Linked DNA regions of Diceros bicornis minor. The protein of the gene in region 1 interacts with the protein of each later gene in a biochemical or structural test. Links are inferred from orthologs where the notes say so. Each region holds a gene or a part of one and is shown on either strand. Other genes may lie near its edges. The genes, in order: BMPR2, BMP2 and GDF2.

What was found.
Region 2: the proteins of BMPR2 (region 1) and BMP2 form a complex in vitro, tested with the Homo sapiens proteins (4 studies listed by BioGRID and IntAct, with this or other methods). The link is inferred for Diceros bicornis minor from reciprocal best matches to the Homo sapiens genes BMPR2 and BMP2.
Region 3: the proteins of BMPR2 (region 1) and GDF2 form a complex in vitro, tested with the Homo sapiens proteins (2 studies listed by BioGRID). The link is inferred for Diceros bicornis minor from reciprocal best matches to the Homo sapiens genes BMPR2 and GDF2.

What each region holds. Positions count from the first base shown.
Region 1 is NC_080749.1:80,181,337-80,185,083, reverse strand, and holds the start of BMPR2 (bone morphogenetic protein receptor type-2), read right to left. Parts: upstream 2,409-3,747; 5' UTR 2,394-2,408; coding exon 2,255-2,393; intron 1-2,254. UniProt on the Homo sapiens protein: On ligand binding, forms a receptor complex consisting of two type II and two type I transmembrane serine/threonine kinases.
Region 2 is NC_080758.1:34,645,112-34,648,858, forward strand, and holds the start of BMP2 (bone morphogenetic protein 2), read left to right. Parts: upstream 1-1,594; 5' UTR 1,595-2,507; intron 2,508-3,678; 5' UTR 3,679-3,685; coding exon 3,686-3,747. UniProt on the Homo sapiens protein: Growth factor of the TGF-beta superfamily that plays essential roles in many developmental processes, including cardiogenesis, neurogenesis, and osteogenesis. Induces cartilage and bone formation.
Region 3 is NC_080745.1:11,555,972-11,559,718, forward strand, and holds the start of GDF2 (growth/differentiation factor 2), read right to left. Parts: upstream 2,708-3,747; coding exon 2,362-2,707; intron 1-2,361. UniProt on the Homo sapiens protein: Potent circulating inhibitor of angiogenesis. Signals through the type I activin receptor ACVRL1 but not other Alks. Signaling through SMAD1 in endothelial cells requires TGF-beta coreceptor endoglin/ENG.

The DNA.
Region 1 (3,747 bases):
AGGGGGAGGGGTGGGAAGGTGTTGTGTTGTGGGTTTAGAGTTTCAGTCATGCAAGATAGGGGGGTTCTGGAGACCCGTTACACAACAATGTGCATGTGGTTGCACACCTGCAAATTGTTGGGAGGGAGAATTTTATGTTATGTGTTTTTTGCCAACAAAAAAAAAAAGAAAGTACTGTTATACGCTATAACGTATGAACCATGAGGTCAGTCACAAAAGATCACAAATTGTATGGTTCCATTTATATAAAATGTTCAGAAAGTGAAGATATAGAGACAGAAAGTAGATTGGTAGATGAGTACAGCTGGGATAAGGAAGTGTGTGTGGAAGGGAACAGAGATTAACTGCTAATGGGTACAGGGTTTCATGTTAAGGGGACTATAGAATACATTTGAGCTGTAAAGTCACAGAATCATTGAAATTTGAAGAAAATAATAGTTTTAATGTTCACTTAGAGTAACCCCCTTTATAAGAGAGGTTAACCCAGATAAGTTGTGACTTCCTCAAGAAAACATTTCCATTATCCCACTTTCGATATATTTTGTAATTTTTAAATGAAGTAAATTAATGACTATTCTACAGTAATCGAATAGTGTTTTTAATTTCAAAAAGATACTTATTGTAAATAACTCTGTTTTTGTCATCTCTGCTTTTCTTTCAGAGCAAAAGAGAGAAAATGAGGAGAGAATAGTTTGAACGACTAGTACTATGATTATTTTATATGTGGGAAAATATATAAATACTACTCAATGTATATTTAATATCTTAAGAAGTATACAACATCTTTTCATGATTAAAACACTCAACAAACTAGAAAGAGAAGGGAACTTCCTTAACCTTATAAAGGGCATCTATGAAAAACCCACAACTAACACCATACTTAATGGTGAAAAACTGAAAACTTTCCCTCTAAGATCAGGAACAAGACAAACATGTTGGCTCCTCCACTTCCATTCAACATTATACCTGAGATTCTAGGCCAAAAGAAACAAAGGAAAGAAAGAAAAAGAAAAAAGAAATAAAAGGCATCCAAATTAGAAAGGAAGAAGTAAAACTATCTTTATTTGCAAGTGACATGGTCTTGTACATAGAAAATACTAAGGAATTAGAGCTAATAAATGAGTTCAGCAAGGTTGCTGAATACAAGATCAATATACAAAAATCAACTGAATTTCTATATGCTAGCAATGAACAATCCAAAAGTGAAATTAAGAAAACAATTCCATTTACAATAGCACCAAAAAGAATAAATTAGGAATAAATTTAACAAAAGAATGCATGATTTGTACACTGAAAACTACAAAATATCATTGAAAGACACTGAAGAGCTAAATAATCAGAAAGATATCCATGCTCACTGATTGGAAGGCTTAATACTGTTAAAATAGCAATACTCCTCAAACTGATCTACATAACAATGCAATCCCTATCAAATATCAGTGCCTTTCTTCCAGAATTGATAAGCTGCTTCTAAATTCATATGGAAATGCAACGGATTCAGAATGGCAAAACAATCTTGAAAAAGAACAAAGTTGGAGGACTCACATTTCTCAATTTCAAAACCTACTACAAAGCAACAGTAATCACGACAGTGTGGTACTGGCATAAACACAGGCATATATATCAGTGAAAGAGAATTAAGAGTTCAAAAGTGAACTCTTACATGTATGGTCAATTGATTTTTGAGAAGGGTGCCAAGACAACTCAAAGGGGAAATAAGTTAGCCCTTCCAACAAGTGGCTGAGGATTCAGGTCATGATGGCAGCGTAGGGGGACTCTGAACTCACTTCCTGCCACGGACAAAACAAATTTACAACTCCTCTTGGAACAGTGACCCCTAAGAAAGAACCGAAAACCGGATAAAAAGAACCCCCACAACAAGGGACAGTGCTCACTGAGGTGGAAGAGGCAGAAATTCCTTTCTGGAGAGGAAAAAGCCATCTGCTAGCCCAGCACTTCACAGCCAGCTGGGAGCAATCTTAAGGTACGAAGCCATTCCTGGAGAAGGGGGGTGTCTGAGCAGGAGAGCTTTGCCACTATAAGCAGCTTTTGGACTCAGCACAACCAAGACAAATGTCATAATATCTGGCTTTGCTGGTATTAACAACAATGGGGAATACCCTGAGAAAAGCTATCCGACATAAGGGGAAAAAAAACGCTGCCCTTAAAGGGCCCACACACAAATTCATCCATTTCAGAAAGCAACCTAAAATCACCAGAAAGGTGCACAGTCCTTTGGTGAAAAGAGACTCACTTGATAGGCTCTGGGCGCATCTTGGTGAGAGGTGAGACCTCCGCAGGCTGCGACCACCTCCCCAGGGACTGAGACATTGGCGGCAGCCACTACTGTAACCTAGTACAGGCGTGCTGACACAGACGCTGGCAGATGCCATTGGAGTTCTTCCTCTGGCCTCTTAGTGCAGGGGTCTGCCCCACTCACTAGAGCACTGATTTAATCCAACACAGCCAGGCCAGGCAGCCCCCCCTAGGGACTGGACCCACCCAACAGCAAGCCCTTGGGCAACTTGTGGGCCCACCTCAGGCAGGCAAGGAGTGTGCAAGGGGCAGGCCTGTGTGGGCAGAGTGTGTGGGGTCTCTGCAGTGGGGCAAGTGGGTCTGCTTCAGTGGATCAGGGTGTGTGCACGGGGCAGGACTGTGTCGACGGGGTGTGTGGGCCTGCAGGTGGTGGGGCTTGTCAGCTGCAGCAGACTTGTGCTTCTCAAACAGCCATATAGGGAATTGGCCCCACCTTCCAAAGCGTGAAACCATTGCGTGCTCCCATGCCTCTGGTCAGCCCCACCCAGCTGTACTCCTGAGAGGGCTGACAACAGCCTCGCAGGCAGGAGGCCCATAGCAATTATAAGCCCCTGAGACGCAACCAGCCACGCTGGGGGCCTACTCACTTAACAGAAAAACTGCAACAGGAATGTGCTAATAGATCTTGCAGCCAACTGTGCTGGGGCTCCCCACGCCCAACAAGTGACTGAAGTGGATATTCATGCACAACTGGATATCCACGTTCAAAGGAATGAAGCTGGATCTCCCACTTCACACCATATACAAAAATTAACTCCAAATACATCAGAGACTCTAAACGTAAAAGCTAAAGCTATAAAACTCTCAGAAGAAAACATATGTATATATATTTGTGACCTTGGACTAGGTAATAGTGTCTTAGGTATGACACCAAAAAGGCACAATAACAAAAGGAAAAATATGTAATTTGGATTTCATCAATATTAAAAACTTTTATGCTTCAAAATACACCATTCAGAAAGTAAAAAACAATTCACAGAAAAAAATTTACAAATTGTATAGCTCAAAAGACTAGTATCCAGAATATAAAAAGTCTTACAACTCAACCAATATGATCCAGCAATTCCAATCCTACGTATATACCCAAGAGATATAAAAACATATCTTCACACAAAAACTTGTACATGAATATTCATAACCATATTAATCATAATAGTCAAAAAGCGTAAACAGGGGCTGGCCCGGTGGTGCAAGCAGTTACGTGCGCATGCTCCGCTTCAGCGGCCCAGGGTTTGCAGGTTCAGATCCCGGGTGGGCACCGACACACCCCTTGTCAAGCCATGCTGTGGCGGGATCCCAAATAAAGTAGAGGAAGATAGGCACAGATGTTAGCTCAGGGCCAATCTTCCTTAGCAAAAAAAAAAGAGGAGGATTGGCATCGGATGTTAGCTCAGGGCTGATCTTCCTCACACACACACAAAAAAAGTGTAA
Region 2 (3,747 bases), on another chromosome or scaffold:
ACGTGAGCGGAACCTAGAATTATTTTAGCTTCCCAACTGAAAAAATAATACACATGCATAATAGATTGTTATGAGCTCCCGATTCAGACTTTTCTCTTTCTACTTTGCAGGCTGAAGGTTCTGTGCAGGCAAACTTGATTTTGCTGATTTGGCTTTTTCAAAAAACCTTCTGCCCTTGGCTTCTGGGACCTTTTGGGTAACCCTGTCACGCTATGCATGGAGAATCCTGGAATCCTGGGGGGAACAGAAAGCCTTGGCCTCAAAACTCATGGTGTGGATTTGGGGAATATTTCAGCTGAGGAAGACAACTGACTTGACCACACGTCACAGACCTGCTGCTGGGGCCTGGTGGAAGGGGGTGGGGCTGAAGGTTCTAAGGTTTCAAACCGGAATTGTCTTTCTGCTTGGCTCCCACTGTGCATTATTTTACCTTCCTCTGAGCTGGGCCAGATAAATATCACAAGGCATGAAGAGATAGCTACCCTAAAAAGAAATAAAATCCCTCTCATCCTCTCTTCACGGTGCCACATACAGTCCACGTTGCGCAAGTCATGTATAGCAGGCTGACATCCATTTCACATATATAGACGTATATTTATAGAAATGTGTGCTATCGTTAGCATATATTTATATATTGGATATATTTCTAGAGACATACACGAGTATATTTGTATATTACATATATATTTATCTAAATATATGTGCATATTTAGATAAATATAAATGTATACATATATTTCTATAAATGTAAGTGCCTATACATACATTTGCATATGTAATGCATATATCTGTGTGTTAAAGTCTAAATAACATCCAGTTTCCAATCTCTAGTTTTCTTTTAATCCTCCTCCCACCCCGGGGAAACACAAAAGTGTCTACCCCAAGCCCATGTCAAGATGCCTTGTAACTTCGCTGAGTTATTTTTTTTTTTTCCCAATCGTCTATCACTGAAAACCTTCAAACTGAAAGCTGAATAACGGGCCGGTGAGGAAATAAAAGCTGGACCTCGTACTTTTCTGAAATTTCGCCCCTGGAGTCCCAGCGAGGGTCCGGCGCTCCAGTTTTTCTCCCCTTTGAGGGCAGGGGCTGGAGGCGCGAGCGCCCCCAACGGCGGCCGCGCGTCCCCGCCGCCGGCCCCACCCCGCCGCGGCTGCCCCGGCGCTCGGTCCACACCCCTGCGCGCCGCTCCCGCCCGCTCGGGGATCCCCGGCAAGCCGCGCCACCGAGGGGGAGGTGTTCGGCCTCGGCCGGGAGGGAGACGGCAGGCGGCGTCCCCTTTAAAAGCCGCGAGCGCCGCGCCACGGCGCCGCCGCCGCCGCCGCCGCCGCCGGAGTCCTCGCCCCGCCGCGCCGCGCTGCGCCCGGCTCGCGCTGCGCCCGCCGCTGTGCTTCCCACACCCCGCCGGGGACTGGCAGCCACCGCCGGACATCAGCCGCCACAGGCTCCGCCGCCGACCCCGACGACCTCGGGGCGAGCGCCTCGCGGATTACTGGGGGCTCCGAGGCACCCGCGCGCCGCAGACCCCGCGCGGGCTGGAGCGCCCGGCCGTGCGCGCCACTGCGCCGTCGCCTCGGCTGCCCGGGCCGCGCCAGAGCCCAGGACCGGCGCGCGGAGCGCCGGGGAGCCGGGAGCCGAGCCCGAGCGCCGCGATGCCGATCACCTCCTGCCGGAGCTCGGGGGCCTGGGACGCGCCGGCCGAAGTGTGATTGGACTCCAGGCTGGCCACAAAGGGCACAGCAGCTTGGCCTGGGGGCTAGGAGAGCGAGGGGAGAGCGCGGCCACCCGCCTCGGCGGCCTGGGACTCGGCTCGACTCGCCGGAGAATGCGCCCGAGGACGCCGGAGCGCCGGAGCCGCGGGGGCTTCAACTGGCTAGCGCTGATGGGGGAGCGCTGGAGTAAAGCAGAGTGATGCGGGGGGGCAGCTCGCCCGGCACCGAGATCGCCGCTGCGCCCTTCCCCGGACCCGGCGTCGCCCAGGATGGCTGCCCCGAGCCATGGGCCGCGGCAGAGCTAGCGCGGAGCGCCCGACCCTCGCCCCCCAAGTCCCGGAGCCGGCCCCGCGCGGGGCCACGCGTCCCCCGGGCGCTGCTGGTTCCTAAGGACAACGACCGCACCAGCTTTTCCTTTCTCCCTTCCCTTCCCTGCCCCGCACTCCTCCCCCTGCTCGCTGTTGTTGTGTGTCAGCACTTGGCTGGAGACTTCTTGAACTTGCAGGGAGAATAACTTGCGCTCCCCACTTTGCGCCGGTGCCTTTGCCCCTGCGGACGCAGCCTCGCCGCCTCCGAACCCCGCCGCCTCTCCACTCCTCCGCTGGGCCCGACCCCAAGACGCCGTTCCCTGCGTGAAGAAAGGGACTGCCCGGCCGGCACCCGGGAGGAGAAGGAGGAGGCAAAGGAAGGGAATCCTGTCCCTGCTCCAGGTCCTTCGGCCAGAGCTTTTTCCATGTGGAGGCTCTTTCAATGGACGTGTCCCCGCGTGCTTCTTAGACGGTCTGCGGTCTCCTAAAGGTAGAGGACGTGGGCCCGGGATAGGGACTGGGGGGGTGGTGGCGGAGCCCGTCCCGGGCCGGGCCTGGCCGGACGTAAACAGGCCCCCCTTCAGGTCCACGTGCAGCCGTGCCCCTGCGGGGATGCCCCTATCCTACCGCCCCCGGCGACCCGTCAGCCTCGCCCTCCTGGCTCGCACTCTTCCGCCCCTCCTCCCTCCCCTCTCTTCGGTACTTTATTAGGGCTGTTAACACTTAGATGATTAAAAAAAAAACAGTCAAAGAAATCCTTTCCAGAGGGTGGCCCTTGGATTTCACCCGTTAGCTGCCAACCTGTACGCCCTGCCATGGCGATTCCTTTTGCCTTCTTCAGTGTTCTGTGGGAGACCTGCTCTCTGCTCAGCGCCACGTACCATTTGGGAAAAGACTACAAGTTGGGGTTCTCCCTGTTTGTTTCCAGGAATGTGAGGGGGTCAGTACTTCAGTGCCACCTTGTTACTGACACGTGAATTAATAGATATTAGCCATTTACGTAATCCCAGGAAGATACATGTGTATCTTGACTGCATTAGGAGGGGTTCGGGGATAGAGTGGCCTGTCCTGACACCTCTGAGGTTAGAGGCGTGGGCCACAAGTTGCAAGTGGCTTCAAGTTGCAAGTGGCTTCGGAAGTTGTGGCCTTGAGTTTACTGGGTCTGGAAGTTATAGACTCTGTGTGTGTGTGTGTGTGTGTGTATCAGGAAGTTCTATACAGTGCCTCTGAGGAAGTCACATGCACCATTCGTGCGTGTTTATATGCAGGCGAGAGCTGGGCAGTGTGTGTTTGGGTTTGTTTAGGGGACAGTGGGGTGTCAGACCAAGCAGTGGTTTCCCCAGGTTCCCTTAACTGGCTGTCGGCGCGAATGTCACAGAATAAAGGGTGACAGTCATTGACTCGGGGGAAGGTGCAAATCATGTCAGACGGATTGAGAGTAGGATGGGAGAGGGAAGCCTTCTGGCTCAGGAACTAGGGGCCTTCCATTCTCCCAAACTTTCGGGCTGCAGCTCCTCTGAAGTATCCCCGGCGAGTGTTGCAAGCCAGGTGGGAACCCTGGAGGAGGAAGCAAGCGGACCGAGCGGGAGCCGGGGCCGCGGGGGCGGAAGGGGGGAGGGCTGGGCGGGGAACTCGGTGACTCACGTCGGCCCTGTCCGCAGGTCGACCATGGTGGCCGGGACCCACTGTCTTCTAGCGTTGCTGCTTCCCCAGGTCCTCCTGGGCGGCGC
Region 3 (3,747 bases), on another chromosome or scaffold:
TGCCCAGAATCGTACCAGGAGCTTTGCATACTATATTTCACTTTACTCTTCATAGTGACCCTGGGAAGATCTAATTATTATTCCACTTTTACAGATGTGCAGGCTGAGATTTAGGGTGTTTAACTGCCAAAATGCACACATCCTATAAAGATCCTCACTTAAAAAAAAAAAAAGAAGAGCCAAATAAACAAAACAGCAAAGCACACTGTCAGCCTCAGAGTGCAGGTCCTGAGGGTATGATTTTAAAGGAGAGATCCTGGCAGGGGATGGTAAAATTCCAACGTGAAGACAATATTAAAAATCTCAGCCTCTAAATAGTGTAGAAATCATTCAGAATTGTAACTTCCAAGCAAATCGAAAGTGGATGATTTTTTAATGTTTGAGGGAAAAAATATATTAGCCTCAACTACCTTGTCACGTTAGGCAAAAACAAGGCTTGCCTTTTAGCCACGTGATTGTCTCGGTTTCCCAGCTCTCCTGGCTGACACATGGCCATTAGCACGTCTCTATTACACCATGGCTCGGTCACAAACAGGGAAGAGAAGTTGCGTTTTTTTGAGCACCGACTGTACGCCAACGTGAGGGGAGACGTGTGCCGTTGTGAAAGCCGGTGGTGCGTGACAGACTGATGCCAGTCCTGACTCTGCCCCTTCCTAGGCTTGTGACCTTGGAGAAATCCTGAGTCTCTGTCTGCCTCAGTTTCCTCATCTGCAGAACGGGGCTCATCCTACCTGCCTCCCCGCGTTGATGTGAGGCTTCGACAGGATGACACATGCAATTTACCCAGCACTGTCTCTGGCTCACAGCAGATGCTCAACCAATATTTCTGTGTCCTCCCCAGACCCTCCTCCCAACCTGTGCACGCCACCCCCACATAGCACATGGCCTTACACACAGCATGGATGCGCCATTCTGATTCCTGCAGAGCCTGTTGAGCTGCCATGGCATACGTGAATAGTGAGAAGGGTCTATAAGCAGTGCAGGGGTGCCTTGAAAATGGCCGTGGGGCCACATCAGACATCCAGAAAACAACTGCCCCCCTCCCTGAGCTGCACCCGGACCATCTGGAAGGGAAGCATAATTGGCCTCCAGGAGCACTGGCCACAGGCAGAGCCAGGATGGGCTCAGAGTACTTGTTTCTGGGGCATGGACAAGGCGGGGGTGGGGGTGGGGGAGGGTGCATAGAGAAGGCTCCAAACGCTGGACTCCCAGGCTATAGGATTTGGTGATTAGGTTCAGCCAAAGAAGCCCAGCCTTCCCCTAAAGCAGAGGTTACAGACCTGCCCTATGGGCCTGGTGAGATGCTGGCAGCATCTAGGTGACCTGCAGACTGCATTGTTTAAAAAATTAAGCCAAGGTTTTAAGAATCAGGCAAGTTCCCATAAAATCCAGATTTTTCTCCCTCTTTTGGGCAATCAGAAACTCCAACAGGGCTGGGCGTGCATCATGACCACGGTGTCTTTTAGTCTGGGCATGTGCTCTGCGGGCCGGGTGGGTCTCGTCTGCCATGGCCCTGAGAAAGACCTGCTAGGAGTCTGCAGGGCTCCAGCCCAGGAGGGGAGAGGCCCTGTGCGCTGGCTGTTTCGAGGGAGACCGCAGCAGCCAGAGAAGCCTGAGCTGTGCAGACAGGTGGGCCTGGGTCAGCACCCAGCCGGCAACCAACACATGACCTGGGCAAGCGACCTGGGCATCTGCAGGCCTCGGCCTCCCTGCTCACAACATCATTTCCCCTGTGTCGTGTGAATCAGTGGACAGAAGCCCTAAGTCGACGTCTGTTATCTTTTAGTCCTCCTAAATCAGGAAAATCATTTTATATTTAGAAAATCATTAAGTTGTTTTCCAATGTTTCTCTCTCAGAGGAATTTATCTGAATTTTAGACACCTTTCAATGAGAAAGAAATAGACATTCTTTCAAAGCTTAAAAATATACCAGATGGTCGGAGGCTGAATACGTTGTCTGTTTCTAGGTAGGAAGGGGACAGTAGGGAAGGGGGAGGAAGGGAAGGGACAGAAGAAAGGGAGCTGGCATTCCCACCGCACACACTGTGTTAAAAGTGGCACTGGGCCCAGGGAGGGAGAATCTTCTAGAGCAGAGCTGTCCAGTAGACCTCTCTGGGATGACTGAAACGTTCTACGATCTGCACTGCCCTATAGGGCGGCCATCTGCCACACAGGACTGCTGAGCACCTGAGTCCAAGCTGGTGACACTAAAGAACCAAGTTATTAATTATATTTCATTTAATTAATTTAAATGGAAACTTCAAGAGCCTCATGCGTCCAGTGGCCACCTTATTGGGCAGCATAGCTGTTGACCACGGCATCCCTCCCCCCCGTGGGGTGCCCTGGTGGAGCCGGCTCTACCTTCCACGCTGAAGCTGCGCACGATGTTGGAGGCGGGCGTGGACGACTTGTCGGAGGTGTATCTGTTGTACAGGTCGATCATGTACTGCGGCGGATCCGCGCGGGTTTTGTCCTGGGAGGGGACCCCGCTCAGGTTGAGGCTGCGCAGGAAATCCACCTTCATGTTCTCCAGGAACATCCTCAGGTCGAAGGTGCCCCCTTCCTGCTCACCTCCCGGCCCCCCTAGCAAGCGGCGGGCATCTCCCGCAGCCGGCGCCCGCCCCCGGCTCTCCAGCGGCTTCCCCTGCACGGAGCAGGCCAGCAGGGCGAGCACGGGCAGGGCCACCCACAGCGCCCCGCAGCACATCTTGGGACCCGCTCTCGCCCTGGACAGGGGTCTGCGGGCGCCGAGTGTGTTAGCGGAAGCGGGGAGGAGCGGGGGAGGAGCGGGCCCGCATCGTCCTGCCCCCCGCTCTGCACAGAGCCCCCCGGCCAGTTCACAGGCGCTCAAAGGCAGTCCCGGAGTGTCCTCCACTTGTGCTTATCTGGCCCTCGATGCCGCGCTCTGACCTCTTATCTAGGGGAGCTCTCCCTTAATGAAGGCTCTGTAAACATCTGACAAACACTCAGGGCTTGTGGGAAGGACATGGCCTGCTGCAAAAAATCCGAGTTTCGCCGTGGGGTTATTGCTCCCTAATTAGGATCCTTCCTTATTTCCTTGCCAGCTCTGTTCAGAAGAATCTCGAGACAGGGTGACACATGCTCCATCTCCTGGACCACAAAACGAAGAATCCAGGAAACAAACAAGAGCAGCAAGTCCTCCAAATATAGAAATAATGACACAAAACTCCCAGAAGCCCCTGGCAAACCTCCGTGGGGGTGGCAGATGGGGTGAGGACCCCAACAGTGTTAGTAAGAGGCCTGGTCTTTGTGGGGTTGGAGCCTGCCTGTGTGGCTCAAGCGCTCTGTGCCTCGGTTTCTCATCTTGAAGCAAGTTCCTGAGCGTTAGAGATGGTGGGTGGCACCTATAATTTAGTGAGGTGAGGAAGACTTTGGAGTCAGACGAGTCAAGGGTTCAAATCCCAGGTCCCTCACTTATCAGTCACAAGTGTGACCTAGAGGAAGTCCCTTCTTTGAGCCTCCAGTTCAGAAGCGAGCTGTAAGGATTTGAGACGATTCTGTGCTAAACATCATGGCAGTCACTGCAAGCCCCAGTCAGCTGGGTTGCTGCATTCTGGCTGCCACTTCTCCATCCCGGGTCTGACTGAGCCTTGCGCCTCCCCAGCCTGCTCTCTAGGAACACACACTGAGGCCTGCTGGCCGGGGACCCCAGAAGAGCTCTGTCACTGCTCTGGGTGGGGTGGGGTTGGGGGTCCTTGCTCATGTCAGCTGGGCGGCTGCCTGGGC